3 linked regions of the Canis lupus familiaris genome follow. The protein of the gene in region 2 interacts with the protein of the main gene of each other region in a biochemical or structural test. Links are inferred from orthologs where the notes say so. Each region holds a gene or a part of one and is shown on either strand. Other genes may lie near its edges.

Evidence for each region.
Region 1: the proteins of PDZK1 (region 2) and SLC34A1 form a complex in vitro, tested with the Homo sapiens proteins (2 studies listed by BioGRID and IntAct, with this or other methods). The link is inferred for Canis lupus familiaris from reciprocal best matches to the Homo sapiens genes PDZK1 and SLC34A1.
Region 3: the proteins of PDZK1 (region 2) and SDK2 interact in a test that uses a peptide from one of them, tested with the Homo sapiens proteins (2 studies listed by IntAct, with this or other methods). The link is inferred for Canis lupus familiaris from reciprocal best matches to the Homo sapiens genes PDZK1 and SDK2.

The regions. Positions count from the first base shown.
Region 1 is NC_049225.1:36,857,422-36,862,374, forward strand, and holds the start of SLC34A1 (sodium-dependent phosphate transport protein 2A), read right to left. Parts: upstream 3,199-4,953; 5' UTR 3,106-3,198; intron 1,935-3,105; exon of another isoform or gene 1,924-1,934; 5' UTR 1,904-1,923; coding exon 1,795-1,903; intron 1,662-1,794; coding exon of another isoform or gene 1,649-1,661; coding exon 1,499-1,648; intron 1,411-1,498; coding exon 1,282-1,410; intron 1,211-1,281; coding exon 1,067-1,210; intron 164-1,066; coding exon 52-163; intron 1-51.
Region 2 is NC_049238.1:59,155,253-59,159,774, forward strand, and holds part of PDZK1 (Na(+)/H(+) exchange regulatory cofactor NHE-RF3), read right to left. Parts: intron 1,138-4,522; coding exon 847-1,137; intron 1-846. UniProt on the Homo sapiens protein: A scaffold protein that connects plasma membrane proteins and regulatory components, regulating their surface expression in epithelial cells apical domains.
Region 3 is NC_049230.1:7,487,596-7,492,601, reverse strand, and holds the start of SDK2 (protein sidekick-2), read right to left. Parts: upstream 3,199-5,006; 5' UTR 3,084-3,198; coding exon 3,020-3,083; intron 1-3,019.

The DNA of each region.
Region 1 (4,953 bases), on a different chromosome or scaffold from region 2:
GAACCACCCTCCCCCGACAAACACAGGCCCCTCGCCACTCTACCCCCTCACCGCCTGAAGTCAGTCCGATCCCCCGCCTGCATCAATGCCACAATGGTATTGGTGACAGAGGTGCCGATGTTGGAGCCCATGATGATGGGGATAGCAGAGCTCACCTCCAGCACTAGCAGAAGAGAGGACCTCTTACATAACTGTGTGAGGGCCTCCTAGCTCCTGCCCCCACAACATCTCCCTCCAGCTCGCTGCCCACGTCCTGGCCTCCACTGGGCAGTCCTGCCATGATGCTGCCCAGCCTTGATGTCACAGGTACATGTGAGTATACATGATACATATGCGTGCATGTGAATGGATACACTGCATGTGCACATATATGTATATGAGGCACGTGTCCTGTACGCAAATGCAGATCTGTGCTTGTGTGTGCATGCATCCAAAGTGTGATGGTTAGTTTCATGCATCAGCTTAGCTAGGCTGCAGCACTCATTCAGTCCACTGGCCTAGATATTGCTGTGAAGGTATTCTGCAGGTGTGATTCACCTCTACAGCCAGTTGAGTTTAAGTAAAGGGGATTATTCTTGATATCTGAGTGGGCCTCATCTGGTGAGATAAAAGGCCTTAAGAGCAAAACTGAGGCTATCCGGCCTTGGCTTCACCTCAGAGTTTCAGCCTGCCCTTCCCAACAACCTCTGCTACAGATTGTAGATTTGCTTAGCCAGCCCCACAATTGTATAAACCAATTCCTTGCAATAAATCATATGTATATCTCCAGTAGGTTCTGTTTCCCTGACTGATGGAAGAAAGGACTATGTGGTGATAGGGAGCTGAGCCTTCCTGGGTCTGGACTCCCCATTTGCCACCCTTCCTAAATCTTGAGGCACTTCTCCTGGCTAAGATTCCCGGCCATGCCTTGGAAGATGGAGTGGGAGATGCTGGAGTCCTGCCCCTTGCCCTTAGCTCCCTGGCCCCACTTCTTTTCCTGGCCCCCAGCTCTGATGCACCACCTCAGCCCCCATCCAGCACACTCAGCCCCCCACACTCTTTCCCTAGCCCTGGTGGGCCAACTTACAGCCAGAAGAGACCATGCTGACAATGATGGACGTGGAGGTGCTGGAACTCTGCACCAGCACCGTCACCAGGATCCCTACCACCAGCCCTGCTACTGGGTTGGACAGGATGGCGTTGTCCTTGAAGATGTCACCAGCCACCTTCCCTGAGGAGTATTAGCCAGCATTGCCTGATGCCCTTCAGGAACCCTGTCCCGGTCCCCTTCTCTGGTCCTACCTCCAGCCAGTTGGAAGGCAGAGCTGAGCACGTCCAAGGAGCAGACGAAGAGGTACAGAAAGGCGAGCATCAGTGGCACCTTGAGGAATGTCATGCCAACCTGGCACAGCTTCTGGGCCAGGCCCAGCTCTGGAGATGGGCCAGTTGTGAGCACAGGGGCCAGGAGCTAAGGCATCAATTGCTGACATCCTTGCTGTCCACCCCTGCCCAGGCCCACCTGGCTTTTGGTCCTCCTCCAGGGCCAGCTTGGCAGGCAGGGGGTCATGGCACTCCAGAACCTCTCCATAGGGGCAGCCGTGCTCAGGAAGGGCCACAGGGCCCAGGCTGGGGAAGGCGTAGGCGGAGGTCCCTGGGATCCTATGCAGGACTGGGGAGGGAGGCTGATAAGGAGTTCCCAGAAGCCCTGGGATAGGCAGGGTCAAGGACGTGCTGGGCAGGGAGAGGGGTGGAGACCTCACCAGGGATGGTAGCAACTGTGGGCACTAAGGGTCCAAGGATGGGAGCAGCACTCACCCTGAGGGCTGGGCACATAGGCAAAGGCTGTCCCACGTATCACGTGTCCGCCTCGGACTGGGTGTGGGGAGACAGCTGGGGCCCCCAGCCTTTCTCCATAGGACATCATCCTGGGTGCACACCGTGGAGCTGTAGTAACACTGAATGACAACTGCTGTGTCCTGGGAACCGACCCATGCTCACACGCCCCTGTCCACATCCACACCCACATAATCATATGCACAAATACCCATGGTGTGCAATCCCTAACGCACATCCTCCACCCCCACATGTACCAGAGATGCACATTCAGGTACTCATCCCAGATTCATGTATTCATTTGCTCAACAAGTATTTGTTGAGTATCAACTCTATCCTAGGCACTGAGCTAGATGCTAGGGTACAGTGATGACTCAATACAAGGACAACCCCTGCTCTCAGGAAGCTCCAAGTCTTGCAGGGAGACAGATGCCAATGAAGTAACCCCTCACATAGAAAGTGGCAATGGGAACAAGGGTTCTAATGACAGATACAGGTGCCACCAGAGTGCCCCATGGAGGGGGTGGAGGGCAGAGATGACTGGGCTGTTCATCTGAGATGAACATGAGTAGGAGTCGCCTGATGGCGAGGGAGAAGGGCATGTGTGCAGCGGCCTCTGGAGGGAAAGGAGCTGTGAGTGCCCTGCAGCCAGAGGGGGCCAGGGAACGTGTGTCAGCAGAGCTTGCAGATGTGGGCCAAGGCTGTGTGTGTGGGAGGAGTTCTGATCATCCTGAGAGCAGAGAAGAGCCGTGGACACCTGCTTGCTCATGGGACCTGCTGGATGTGCACTCGGGAGAGTCCACTGGCCTGGATCTCAGGTTTGGGAGTTCCCTTCGCAAACGAACTTCTTTCCCCCACCTGCCTCTCTCCCTCACAGCAATAAACAAACACCAATGTCCTTTCTCCCATGAATGGCTTTCAGACCAGGACCGGTTTAGGTAAGGAGGTTTCCCCATGCCCGCCCCAATCTGAGAAACCCTTGGCATGCTTTAGAGCCCCCTGAACTGCCTCAGGAGTTCTTGGTGGTTGGGGTGAGCATACCCAGTCTATATCAGCAGCCTGTACCCCCACACCCCTATGTTGTCCCAAGGGCCCTTGGCTATTTGGCGGAATTGCAGGGAGCTGGAAGAGAAGTGCATGAGTTCTTTCCTTTGCGGGGTTGGACTGGGACTGAGATGTTATGGGTGCAGGAAGGGGAAGCACAGTTAGGGCAGAGGTGAGGGAGCAAGACCGATAGGCTATTTCCTTCTAAGGCTTGGGGATGAGTTTGGGAGTGAGGAGCCCTAGGCTTACCTTGGGATTCTGTGTTTCAGCTCCTGCTCAGCTACTTAAGGAAGCCCCAGGGGCCTGAGGCAGAGCTGGGACCCTCCTCTTTATACCCTTGGGTCAAGGGCAAAGTCCCAAAACCCTAGCTGCCCTCTCTCTGTTCCCCAATTAACCTCACCCCTGAGATTCCTCCCAGTTAATTACTAATCGTCAGCTCTGCTGGGGGAGTCTGTAGTCAGGCTTTCCCTTTCCCCATGCAGAAACTCAGCCTGAAAGAGACCCAAGCCAGCTAGGGCACAGACACATTTGCCTTCAGGCAAAGACCCTTATGCTACTTAGGCACTTTATTCCCAGGGTCCCCAAAAAGATTTCATGGCTCCAGCCCCTTCTCCTCATTCTTAGTCTGACAGGACTCTTGTCTTGCCACAAACCTGGATGTCTGTGGATCTGTCTGTGGGTCTTAGGAGCATTTGGAGGAGAGGGAGCATGTGATGGAAAGAGTAATAGAGAAATCTGGGAAGGCTTCATAGTGTTGAGTCAGGGAGGGTCTCCAGTGTGTAACCACAAATCCAGGATGTGTCTGAGAGAATGTGGAGCCCCTGGCCAGATCAGGAAGGGCCTGGTCTGGGATCCCTGGGTGGCGCAGCGGTTTAGCGCCTGCCTTTGGCCCAGGGCGCGATCCTGGAGACCCGGGATCGAATCCCACGTCGGGCTCCCGGTGCATGGAGCCTGCTTCTCCCTCTGCCTTTGTCTCTGCCTCTCTCTCTCTCTGTGTGTGTGTCTCTTATGAATAAATAAATAAAATCTTAAAAAAAAAAAAAAAGGAAAGGCCTGGTCTGCATTTTAGAATGGTCTCTTTAGTAGGAGAAAAGGGGGTTGTCTGTCAAAGGGGGCAAGTCTGGAAGCAGAGAGACCAGCTAAGAGGCTGATGAGATGGTCTAGAGGAGAGACAATGAGGTCTGAATCAAGTGGAACAGGAGGGATGGAGAGAAGATGCATCCCAGGGATACTTTGACAATGGAATGGGCGATGGGGAGCGTGGCAGAAAGAGGAACTATATGACAGTTGGATTTCTGGATCAAGAAGCTGATGATGGCATGAGGTCTGTTGCAAAACTTCTAAAACCCAGAGAGGGCTCTTAGGGAGCCTTTGAGAAACTTGTTTCCCTTTCATGGGACTCTGGAGCCTGAATTGGGGCCCAGATTCACATGAATGATGAGAAGGGAGCTTCCCTTCTAAGAGAGGAAGATTGAACAGATCCAGCAGCAGTGGGTTCCATTCAAAATTTAGCTTGGGGGGATCCCTGGGTGGCGCAGCGGTTTGGCGCCTGCCTTTGGCCCAGGGCGCGATCCTGGAGACCCGGGATCGAATCGACGTCGGGCTCCCGGTGCCTGGAGCCTGCTTCTCCCTCTGCCTGTGTCTCTGCCTCTCTCTCTCTCTCTCTCTCTCTCACTGTGTGACTATCATAAATAAATAAAAAATAATAATAAAAAAATTTAGCTTGGGCAACTATGTGAGTAACCTGTCCAACATTATCCATCCGTCCATCCATTCATGAACCCACCCACCCACCTAGCCAGCCAGTCATATGTCTATCCACCCATTCCTAAGAACATTAGTTGAGTTCCTACTCAATGCTGAGCCAAGATTGGCTAGGCCAGCTCCCTCCTGATCTAATCTCTGAGTCAGCCTGGAGTGCTGAGGCAAGTCACTTTACCTATAAAATGGCAATCAGAGGGGCACCTGGGTGGCACAATCAGTTGGGCAGCCAACTCTTAAGTTTTGACTCAGGTCTTGATCTCAGAGTCATGAGATCAAGCCCAGCATCGGGCTCAACACTCAGCATGGAGTCTACTGGAGATTCTCTCTCCCTCT
Region 2 (4,522 bases):
TAACGGAAAGAAGAATGACATAAATCTTTTGGAGTTTTGGCTTTGCCGTTCATTTCCTTTATGAACTTGACAAAAATATAAAAGACTTATCAAGGAATTTAATCCAGAGTAATGCTTTTTCCTATTAATAAAACATACATACCTGCCAATTATCTTAAAAAGAATGTCTCTAACCACTACCATTCAGTTTCAGGCTTACCATTATTAACCAGGCACTGTTTGAAGCACTTTAATAGTCTTAGTTAATAGGAAACAAACAGGGTTGCTGGAGGGGAGGTATCTGGGGGGGATGGGGTAACTGGGTGATAGGCATTAAGGAGGGTACGTGATGGAATGAGCACTGGGTGTTCTATGCAACTGATGAGTCATTAAACTCTACCTCTGAAACTAGTAATATACTATATATTAATTGATTTTAAACTTAAAATTTTTTTAAATTAAAGAATAGTTAATATAATCCTAATAATCCTATAAACTATTCTTGGTTTACAAGTGGGGTAAGTGAGGCAGAGAGAAAATAAGTCCATTTGCCCAAGGCTGTTAAGTGACAGAATCAGAATTTGTACACAGTCTGATTCAGGTTCTTCTGGTGGTTCCATTATAATTTTGATAAACTTTTATTAATTGATTTTTCTCCAGACAGTTACTGTCAACTCCATGCTATGAAAAAGAAGCTTGTCCTCATACCACTTCCTCTCCACCAAAATAATTTAACTTGCTTGTTCTCTTTGTAATTTTCCAGTATTCTAGGAAATGTGTGGTCAACACAGACCTGGGGTGTACTTATTAAGGACTTTATCATACCCTGATAGGTTAGATCACTAAAAGAAGTCTGTCATCACTCACTCGTTCTTTTGCCACATGTGACTCGAGCTCTGGTTCTGCCAGTGTTTCTTCTTTGGAATCAGGAGTTTCATCCAGTGGATCAGCCATGGAAGAAACAACAGGGATTTTCTTAACCTGGAAATAATCATAGGCCTTCTTTCCACAGACCAAGAGTGTGACATTCTTCCCACTGCTCTGGATTCTGTCTACCACCTTCTCATAGGGTTCATCCACCACCTTTGCTCCATTCACTTCAATGATGATATCTTCATCCTCCAACCCTGCCAATTCAGCAGGGCTGCCCTTCTGTACCTATGAAGAGAGGTTCTAAATTATCACTTCCTGACATGGATAAAGGAATTTAGTTTAGCTTCCCTTCAGAGGAGAGAGGAGTTTGAAAATGTACTCTTAACCATGTTATTTCTCCCTAAGGTACATAAGAAAGGTGCTCTAATGCTTTTCCACTTCTGAAAGATTCAACTTCCGTTCTCAAATGAATACCACGGTAGGAGGGGTCCGACATGACAGCACAAAAAGACTCTGAACTCACCTCCTCCCACAGACACCAAATCGACATCTACATAAAGAGCAATTCCTCCTGAAGAACTGAGGGCCAATTGAGCAGCTTTTACACAAAAAAGAATAGACCACAGAGAGAACAGCAGAAGAGATGGAGACACAGTAATGATGAAACCCCCACCCCTGATGCTACAAACTACAGTAGGGAGAGAGACCACTGAGGAGTCAGCACACAGTTTCCCCAGACCTGGGGCACAGAAAAATAGTAGCAGTTTAAAGAGCAACTAGAAAAAAAAATAAATAAATAAAAATTAATTAATTAATTATTTAATTAAAAAAAAAGAGCAACTAGACTAATCGAAGAGAACCAGTTGACTAACCCGAGAGCATCTGCCAAATGGTAGAGAAACTGCTGAAATTCTCAGGGGCACAGGGTATTAGCAAGTACCACTGTTAACATTCCATCTCCACCTTGATAATGCAAGATAAGCCCAGATGCTCTAGCCATCCTCAACAAGCCCTGGGACCCTAGCCCACACCAGCTCAATGCAGGCCCACTATGGCACACACCAGGACACCCTCAGCTACCTCACCAAAGCAATCATGGCATAAAGCACTCCAAATCAGCCCAGCCCATGCCTGCTTCAGCTATGCCACCAGAGCTGGCTCCACCCAAAGCTACTAGGCACCTGCAGTCTACACTGGGGACATTTCTACACAAGATCACTCCTTTAAGACAGGAAGATGTAGCTGTTTGAGACAAAGGAATATGTTTCAAATGAAAGAATAAGACAAAACAAGAATTGAACAAAATGGAGATAAGCAATCAACCCGAGGAAGTTCAGAGTAATGGTCATAAAGATGCTCACCAGACTTCAGAGAAGAGTAAATGAATTCAGTAAGAACTCAAAGAAATAGAAAATATATTCTTTATCTCTGATTCATTCTTTTTTATAATTAAAATTTAAAAATACATAAGAGGGAATTAACAGATGATACAGAACAAATCTAGTGATCCGGAAAGACCAGTAAGCACTCAAGCTGAACAACAAAAAGAAAAAAAATTTAATTGAGGTTAGGTTAAGGAATCTCTGGGACAGTAACATTCATGCCATAAGAATCCCAGAAGGAGAACAGAGAAAGGGACAGAAAGCTTTTTTTGAAGAAATAATAACTGAAAACTTCCCTAATCTGGGGAAGAGACAGACGTCCAGGAGAACCCCAAGCAAGCTGAACCCAAGAAGGAACACCAAGACCTATAACAATTTAAATGTCAAAGATTAAAGATAGAGAATCTTAAAAGCAGCAAGAGAAATGCAGCTAGCTACCTATGAGGGAAATCTCGTAAGGCTATCAGCTGATTTTTCAGTAGAAACTTTGAGATTATATATACATATAACATATAGACAAATATATGCCATTCCCCCTCTGGCCTGCAAAAGACCAAAAGAAAAAAACCTACGTGCAAGGATGTTCTACCCAGCAAACTCATTTTCAGAACTGAAGGAAAGAGACAGTTTCCCAGACAAAAGTTAAAGTCACAACCCCTAAACCAAACTTACAAGAAATGTTGAAGGGCCTTCTCCAAGTGGAAAAGGGCATAACTAGAAGAAAATTATGAAAGGAAAAAATTTCACCAATAAAAGAAAACACGTAAAGATAGTAGATCAATCACTTAAAATCTAGTGTGAAGGTTGAAACACAAAGGTAGTAAAACCAATTATATCAAATAAATAAATAAGAGATTTACAGAATAAAAAGATGCAAAATAAGACACATTAAATGTGGAGGGGAAGGAATAAAAATATAGTACTTTTAGAATATATTTGAATTCGGGATGCCTTGGTGTTTCAGTTGGTTAAGCATCTGACTTTTGATTTCAGCTCAGGTCATTTTCTCAGGATTGTGAGATCAATCCCTGCATTGGGTTCCATGCAGGGCATGGAGCCTGCTTAGGATTCTCTCTCTCCCTCTGTCCCTCCTCTCCCATACTCACTTGTGCTCTCTCTTAAAAAAAAAAAAAAAAAATATATATATATATATACACACACACACACACACACACACACACACACACATACATACATATGTTTGAATTTAAGTGACCATCAACTTAATATACACTGTTATATATTTAGGATGTTATATAGGAATGTTATATAGTAACCATAAATCAAAAACCTATAATAATACAAAAAATTAGAAAGGAATCCAAGTGTAACATTAAAAGAAAGTCATCAGTCATAAGGGAAGAGAGCAAAAGAAGAAAGAACGTCATCAGTCATGAGGGAAGAGAGCAAAAGAAGAAAGGAATAGAACTACAAAAATACCCAGGAAATAATTAACAAAATGTCATAGGTACATACCTATCAACTACTTTAAATGTAAATGGTCTAAATGCTCCAATCAAAAGACAGGGTAACTGAACAGATATAAAAGCAAGATCCATTTATATGCTGCTTATAAGAGACACTTCAGGCCTAAAGACCCAGGCTGAAAGTGACAGGCTAGAAAACATTTACCATGCAAATGGAAGCCAAAAATAAAAACAAAGTAGCAGTGCTTACATTAGATAAAATAGATTTTAAAACAAAGACACTGGGGCACCTGGGTGGCTAACTGGTTGAACTAGAAATCACAAAAAAAAGTCTAAAAAGAACACCAATAGGGAAGCCCAGGTGGCTCAGTGGTTTGGCGCCACCTTCAGCCCAGGATATGATCCTGGAGACCTGGGATCGAGTCCCACGTCGGGCTCCCTGTGTAGAGTCTGTTTCTCCCTCTGCTTGTGTCTCTGCCTCTCTCTTTCTCTCTGTCTCTCATGAATAAATAAATAAAAATAAAAATAAAATAAAATAAAAAATAAAAAGAACACCAATAACATGCTACTAAACAATGAACGTGTCAACCAAGAAATCAAGGAGGAAATAAAAAAATAAATGAAGACAAATGAAAACACAATTCAGTCTTTGGGATGGAGTAAAAGCAGTTCTAAGAATCTCATAGAGCTACTGCCCTACCTCAAGAATCAGGAAAAACCTCAATTAAACCTTGTGCCTAAAAGAACTAGAAAAAGAACAAAGCCTAAAGTTAGTAGGAGAAAGGAAATAAAGATCTGAGTGGAAATAGAAACTAAAAAAAAAAAAAAAATAGGAAAGATCAGTGAGGGATGCCTAGTTGG
Region 3 (5,006 bases), on a different chromosome or scaffold from region 2:
AATTTTCATGGCACCCGAAAAATCTTTTGAGAAGCTGGCTAAGATGCAGACATCCAGGCTCACCCAGACATTTCCAGGCAGAGCACCTGGGAGTGGAGCCCAGCACCGCCGGAGGGCCACTGAGGACCGCGATGCAGCCTCTGAAATAGAAGGTGGGTGGGTGGCCAGGGCTACTCCTCATGGTCGGGCTTAACAGTGTAAAAACATCATCATCATCATCATCATCATCATCATCATCATCAGAACAATTACCCTTGGGCACCTGGGTGGCTCAGTGGTTGAGCGTCTGCCTTTGGGCTCAGGGTGTGATCTCGGGGTCCTGGGATGGAGTCCCACATCAGGCTCCCCCTGCAGGGAGCCTGCTTCTCCCTCTGCCTATGTCTCTGCCTCTCTCTGTGTCTCTCATGAATAAATAAAATCTTTAAAAGGGAAAAAAAAAAAAAACCTATTCCCCTTTATGAAGCGCCTTCTAAGTGCCAGGCACTTGCGGCGGGCTCCCTCAAATACCTGGAATCGCTCTTTCTACAACATCGCGGCACTTAGTTTAGGAAATGGGTGTGAACTGTCGGAGTTTTGGGGGAAATGGTTAAAAAGTGGCTTTCAGTATAGGCAGGTGATGTTGCTGGGGTCCAGCAGCTGAAAACACTAGCCAAGGTCTAGATAAAATCCTCAGTGGTGGCCAATATGAGGTCTGCCCCAGGGAGGAAGGCCACCTGGGCCCTCACTCTGTGTCATGACTGGAGACACATGACTGAAGGGCTCAGGAGCTCAGAAGGAACAAACAGTGCCAGCAGCTTCAACTACCCCCAAAGGGTTAAGGGCATGGCCTCAACCTCAAAAGAGAAGCTAAAGAGAACCTCCACCTTCTAACCCTAAAGCAGGTAGGAAAGGAACCCCCCTCAACTGAGTCTCCCCATGGCCTGACCCTAACCCCCCCACACCCCACGGCCCCCTACACACAACACAGCACCCCTAAGTCCAGGCGAGACCAAGTTCCCACAATCCCCTGCATGGTTTGCCGCCAGGAGACAAATGGAGAGTACCCACGGATGCTGGAAAACACTCTCTCGGAGCCAGAGAACACAAACGGAGCAGCAGGGGACCTGGGCAGCCTCACTCAAGAAGGCAGCAAACAAGAGAACCAGAGAGGGAGGGAATCAATCAGTCTTTCCGTGTGGTGACAGGGCGAGCCCCTCCAGCAGGAGGACGGGGACAGAAGTGGCCGGGCCTTAACTTCAGCCGGACTGGTGGATCCTGGCCTCAGGTGGATGGGACAGGGTCGGCTGGGACATGATAGAGGCTTGATGGCCCACAGGGAAGGACCTTTGGGTGCCCAGGGGACTCCTCATGGGCCTGGGCCTGCGTGGACAAGAACGAGTGAGCCACCTGCCCCGGGGAAATCATGCCACTGCCACAGTCCATACAGTAATGAAGTCAGATGCCTCCAGCTGGGGCTGACACCCCCAGAGTCCTCCCTCTCTCCCGGCTTTCGGCCAGGAGCCCCACGGGCGTCTCGGAGCAACTCTGTGAGGCGCCCCAGGGCAGGCTGCACCTTGTTCCTCTTCTGCCAGCAGCAAGGTCCTCCCAGGACCTCCCAGGAGGGCCCAGCCCTTGGCAAACCCACGCCAGCTGCGGAGGGTCCTGGGTCCGGGGACAGAAGGGCCCAAAAGTCACCAGGTCCCTGACTCTGCCCCCAGTGCACGCAGCAGCCTTGGGCAAAGTCATTTAATGCCTCTGGGCCTCAGTTTTCCTATCTGCGAAGTGGTAGCTAGAGTCAGCCGACCTCTAAGGTCCGCAGGCTGCTGGAAGATTTTACGATGATCATAAAACTAATAATAACTTTTATTACCTTACATTTACAGGGCTCCTTACAAAATTTCTAAGTGGTTTAACGTAAATTACCTTATAAAATCCTCCCTTCAACCCGGTGAGTGAGAGCTGATTATTCTCATCTCTTTGATCTCGGCTCTCTGGACTGCCTGACGCTGGGCGCAGTGGGGTCCCTTCACCTCCCCCCCTCGCTGGCGGGCGACCCCAGAGTTGGGGTGGGGCCCGGTCGGGATGCAGCCTCCGCATTCCGGCGCCCCCGGGTGGGTGCAGGCAGCTCCCGAGCCTGGAGCCTGGAACCGGGAGGCCGAGCCCCGCGAGTCCTGAAGCTCGGTCGGGCTTCGTCTCCCTCCGCCCCCAGCAGGCGCCGCTCGGACACCGCTGGCACCACCGTCTGGGTCTGCGAACCCCAAAGGCAAGGAAGCGGCGGTGCAACCGGCCTCCCCCGCTGGGACCTGCCCGAGGACTGGGGGCGGGGGGTGTCTGGGCATCCGCCCTCCGGAGGGGGCAGCGCGGACCCTCCCAGCGCCTCCCCATCCCTCCCCATCCCTCCCCCCTCCCGCCCCCAAGGCAGGGGCTGCTCCAGGCAGCCACAGGTCAGAGAATCAGGAGCGGCGGGCGGAGGGGGAGGTCCAGGCAGGATGCTGCGTGTGTCCGGGGGCGCAGGGGGGCCGCCCCACCCCGCGTGGGTCCGGGCTCGAGGCCCGCTCAGCCGAGCACCCCCGGCCCCGCGGCCTGGCCCGGAGACTGTCCCCCCGGGGCGGCCGGCGGATCCGACTCGGGCTCCCGCCCCACTCGGCCGGCCCCGGGCGCTCAGCGCCTGCCGGGCACGGGGCCTGGCCCTTCCCGCGGACCCGGGGACCCGGGCTGGGGAGCTCGGGCGCGGAGCCCCGCACCCACGCGGGCCCGGGGGGGGGCACCCACGGCGGGGGGGGCGCTCCACCCCTCCCCTCACCCCGGACGACGCTCCCAACACCGACCCCCACCTTCCCTCCCCGGGAAGCCACAAGTCTCAGAAAGGCGGCCCCACCCCCCCAAAAAAGGGAGCCCCCCAACTCGAGTGGGGGGGTTCCTGAAACTCCCTGGAGAGGCTCTGCGCAGGCCAAGCGCGGTGTCCAGGAGCCGCCGCCCCCCAAGCCAGCCCCCCAAGCCAGCCCCCCAAGCCAGCCCCACGTGGGGGTGGCCCTCCTACCTTGGGCTGCGGCCGCACGGATCCGGTGCAGGGCCAGCAGAGTCCAGATCAGCAGCCCCCACATGGTGCCCGGCCCTGCAGGGGTGTCCTCCGCGCTGTTTTATAATCCGGGGGTGCGGGGTGGGGGGTCCCGGGAGACTGTCCACGCCGCTCCGGCCCGGGTCGGTGGGTGGGCGGGAGGGGCAACGCCGGCGACCCCAAGCCTTCCTTCGGGTCCGCTGTCCCAGTCCGATCCGGCGGCGCGCGCCGAAGGCCCGGGGGCGAGCCAAGAGCAGGGGGCAAGCCCGCTCTCGGATTCGGGGCTCCTCCCTCCCCGCGGCGCCCCAACTCCCGACTTCTCCCGGGCGGGGCGGCCTCCGCGATGCGGCCGGGTGGCGGGCCGGGCTCCGGAATAAGCCGGCAACTTCAGGAAACTTCCTCCGTGGCCACGTTGCCCGCCCCCCGCGCCCTCCCCGCCCCCTGGCTGGGTCCTCCGCGCGGACGCAGTCACCGGCGCTGCAGGCGCGGGGCCCCCGGGGCCGGGCGGGAGGCGAGCGCGGCGGCGGCGGGCGCGGGCGCGGGCGCGGGGCTGCGTTCAGGGGCGCGGGGCGCGGGGGGCGCGGGGGGCGCGGGGGGCGCGGCTGGCATAGCGGGCCGAGCCTCGCTGGAGCCGAAGTTTTCTTCTCTGTAACTTTGCAGGCGGCATCCGGCGGGGCCGAGCCGCCCCTCTCGGCTCCCGCGCCCCGGCGCCCAATCGGGGAGGCTCGGTGCCCCCGGCGGCGCCGGCCCGGGCGCGCCCTCGGCTCCGCGCCCAGCGGACTAGCAAACTTTGCGGCTCCCGCGGCCCGGCGCGCAGCCCCGCGCGCCCATGTCCGCGCCGGCGGCGGGGAAGGCGGCCCGGGCGCCGAGCCTCCTGCCGGCCGAGGACGGAGCCGGGCGGCGCTGCCCTCCGCCGCGCCCTGGCCGGAGCTCCGGGCGAGGCGCGCGGAGAGCCCGGCGGGCAGCCCCGGCTCCGGGCGCGCGGCGCCTCCTGGACGCACGGGCCCCGCCGCCCCTGCGCCTGGGCCGCGCCGCCTCCGCAGCCTCCGCCGCCGCCGCCCCGCCGCCGCCGCCGCCGCCGCTCGCCGAGCCCGCCGCCCTCCGCTTCCCGGGCTCGGCGTCCGGAGAGCCGCTCCTGCCTGCGCCGAGCCGGAGCTGCGGGGGCCGCGTGAGCCGGGGACGAGCGCGGCGCGGGCGGAGGCGGAGACGCGGCGAGGGGGGCCGAGCGCTACCCCGTGGCCGCGACTGGAGACAGCGGGCGCGCGGGGAGGGGGCGGCGGCGGCCCCGAGCCAGGCCGGGAGCGAGCCCCGCCGGAGCCCCGCAGCCCGGCCGCCGCGCGGGACCCGCTGCGCCCCCGCCCCAGCTCGCGCCCGCCGCGCGGGGAGGGATGCGCCCCGCGCCCCTCCGCCCCTCCGCCCCTCCGCCCCTCGGCCCGGCCCCGCGCCCCTCCGCTCCGCGGGCCTGCTCTCATCCCTGCGTCTCCCGCAGCCCGGACCCCCACCACCCCTCCCGAGACACGGGGTGTGTGTGTGGGGGGGAGGCTGTGCTGGGCAGAGGGGGTCCCACTCCCCACCCCACCCCCTTCCCAGGTCAGGCTTTCAAGAATCTGGAAACGCTCAGGGCCCAGAGCAAGACAAAAGGAAGGCCTGGGACTTACAGATGGCTGAGAAAGTGAAGTTGGTGCCAAGGCGTATGCATTCTTTGTTCCTTCTTCTTCTTCTTTTTTTTTTTTTTTTTTTCTTTTCTTTTCTGTTCTTTGGAGCTCTGTTTGCTAAGGGTAGGAGAACAGAAAATTGGTGAGGGAGCCACAGAGGAGAAGGGTTGGAGGTTTTCTCCCCTGTGCGCCCCCCCCCCCAGAAATGAGCAGAACCAGCACCCACCATGGAAGAAGCCAGCTGGGTAGGGTTTGCAGGACCCCATTCAAGTGTTCTGGGCACTAGACAGCTTTGCCTCCACGGACTCTTTTTT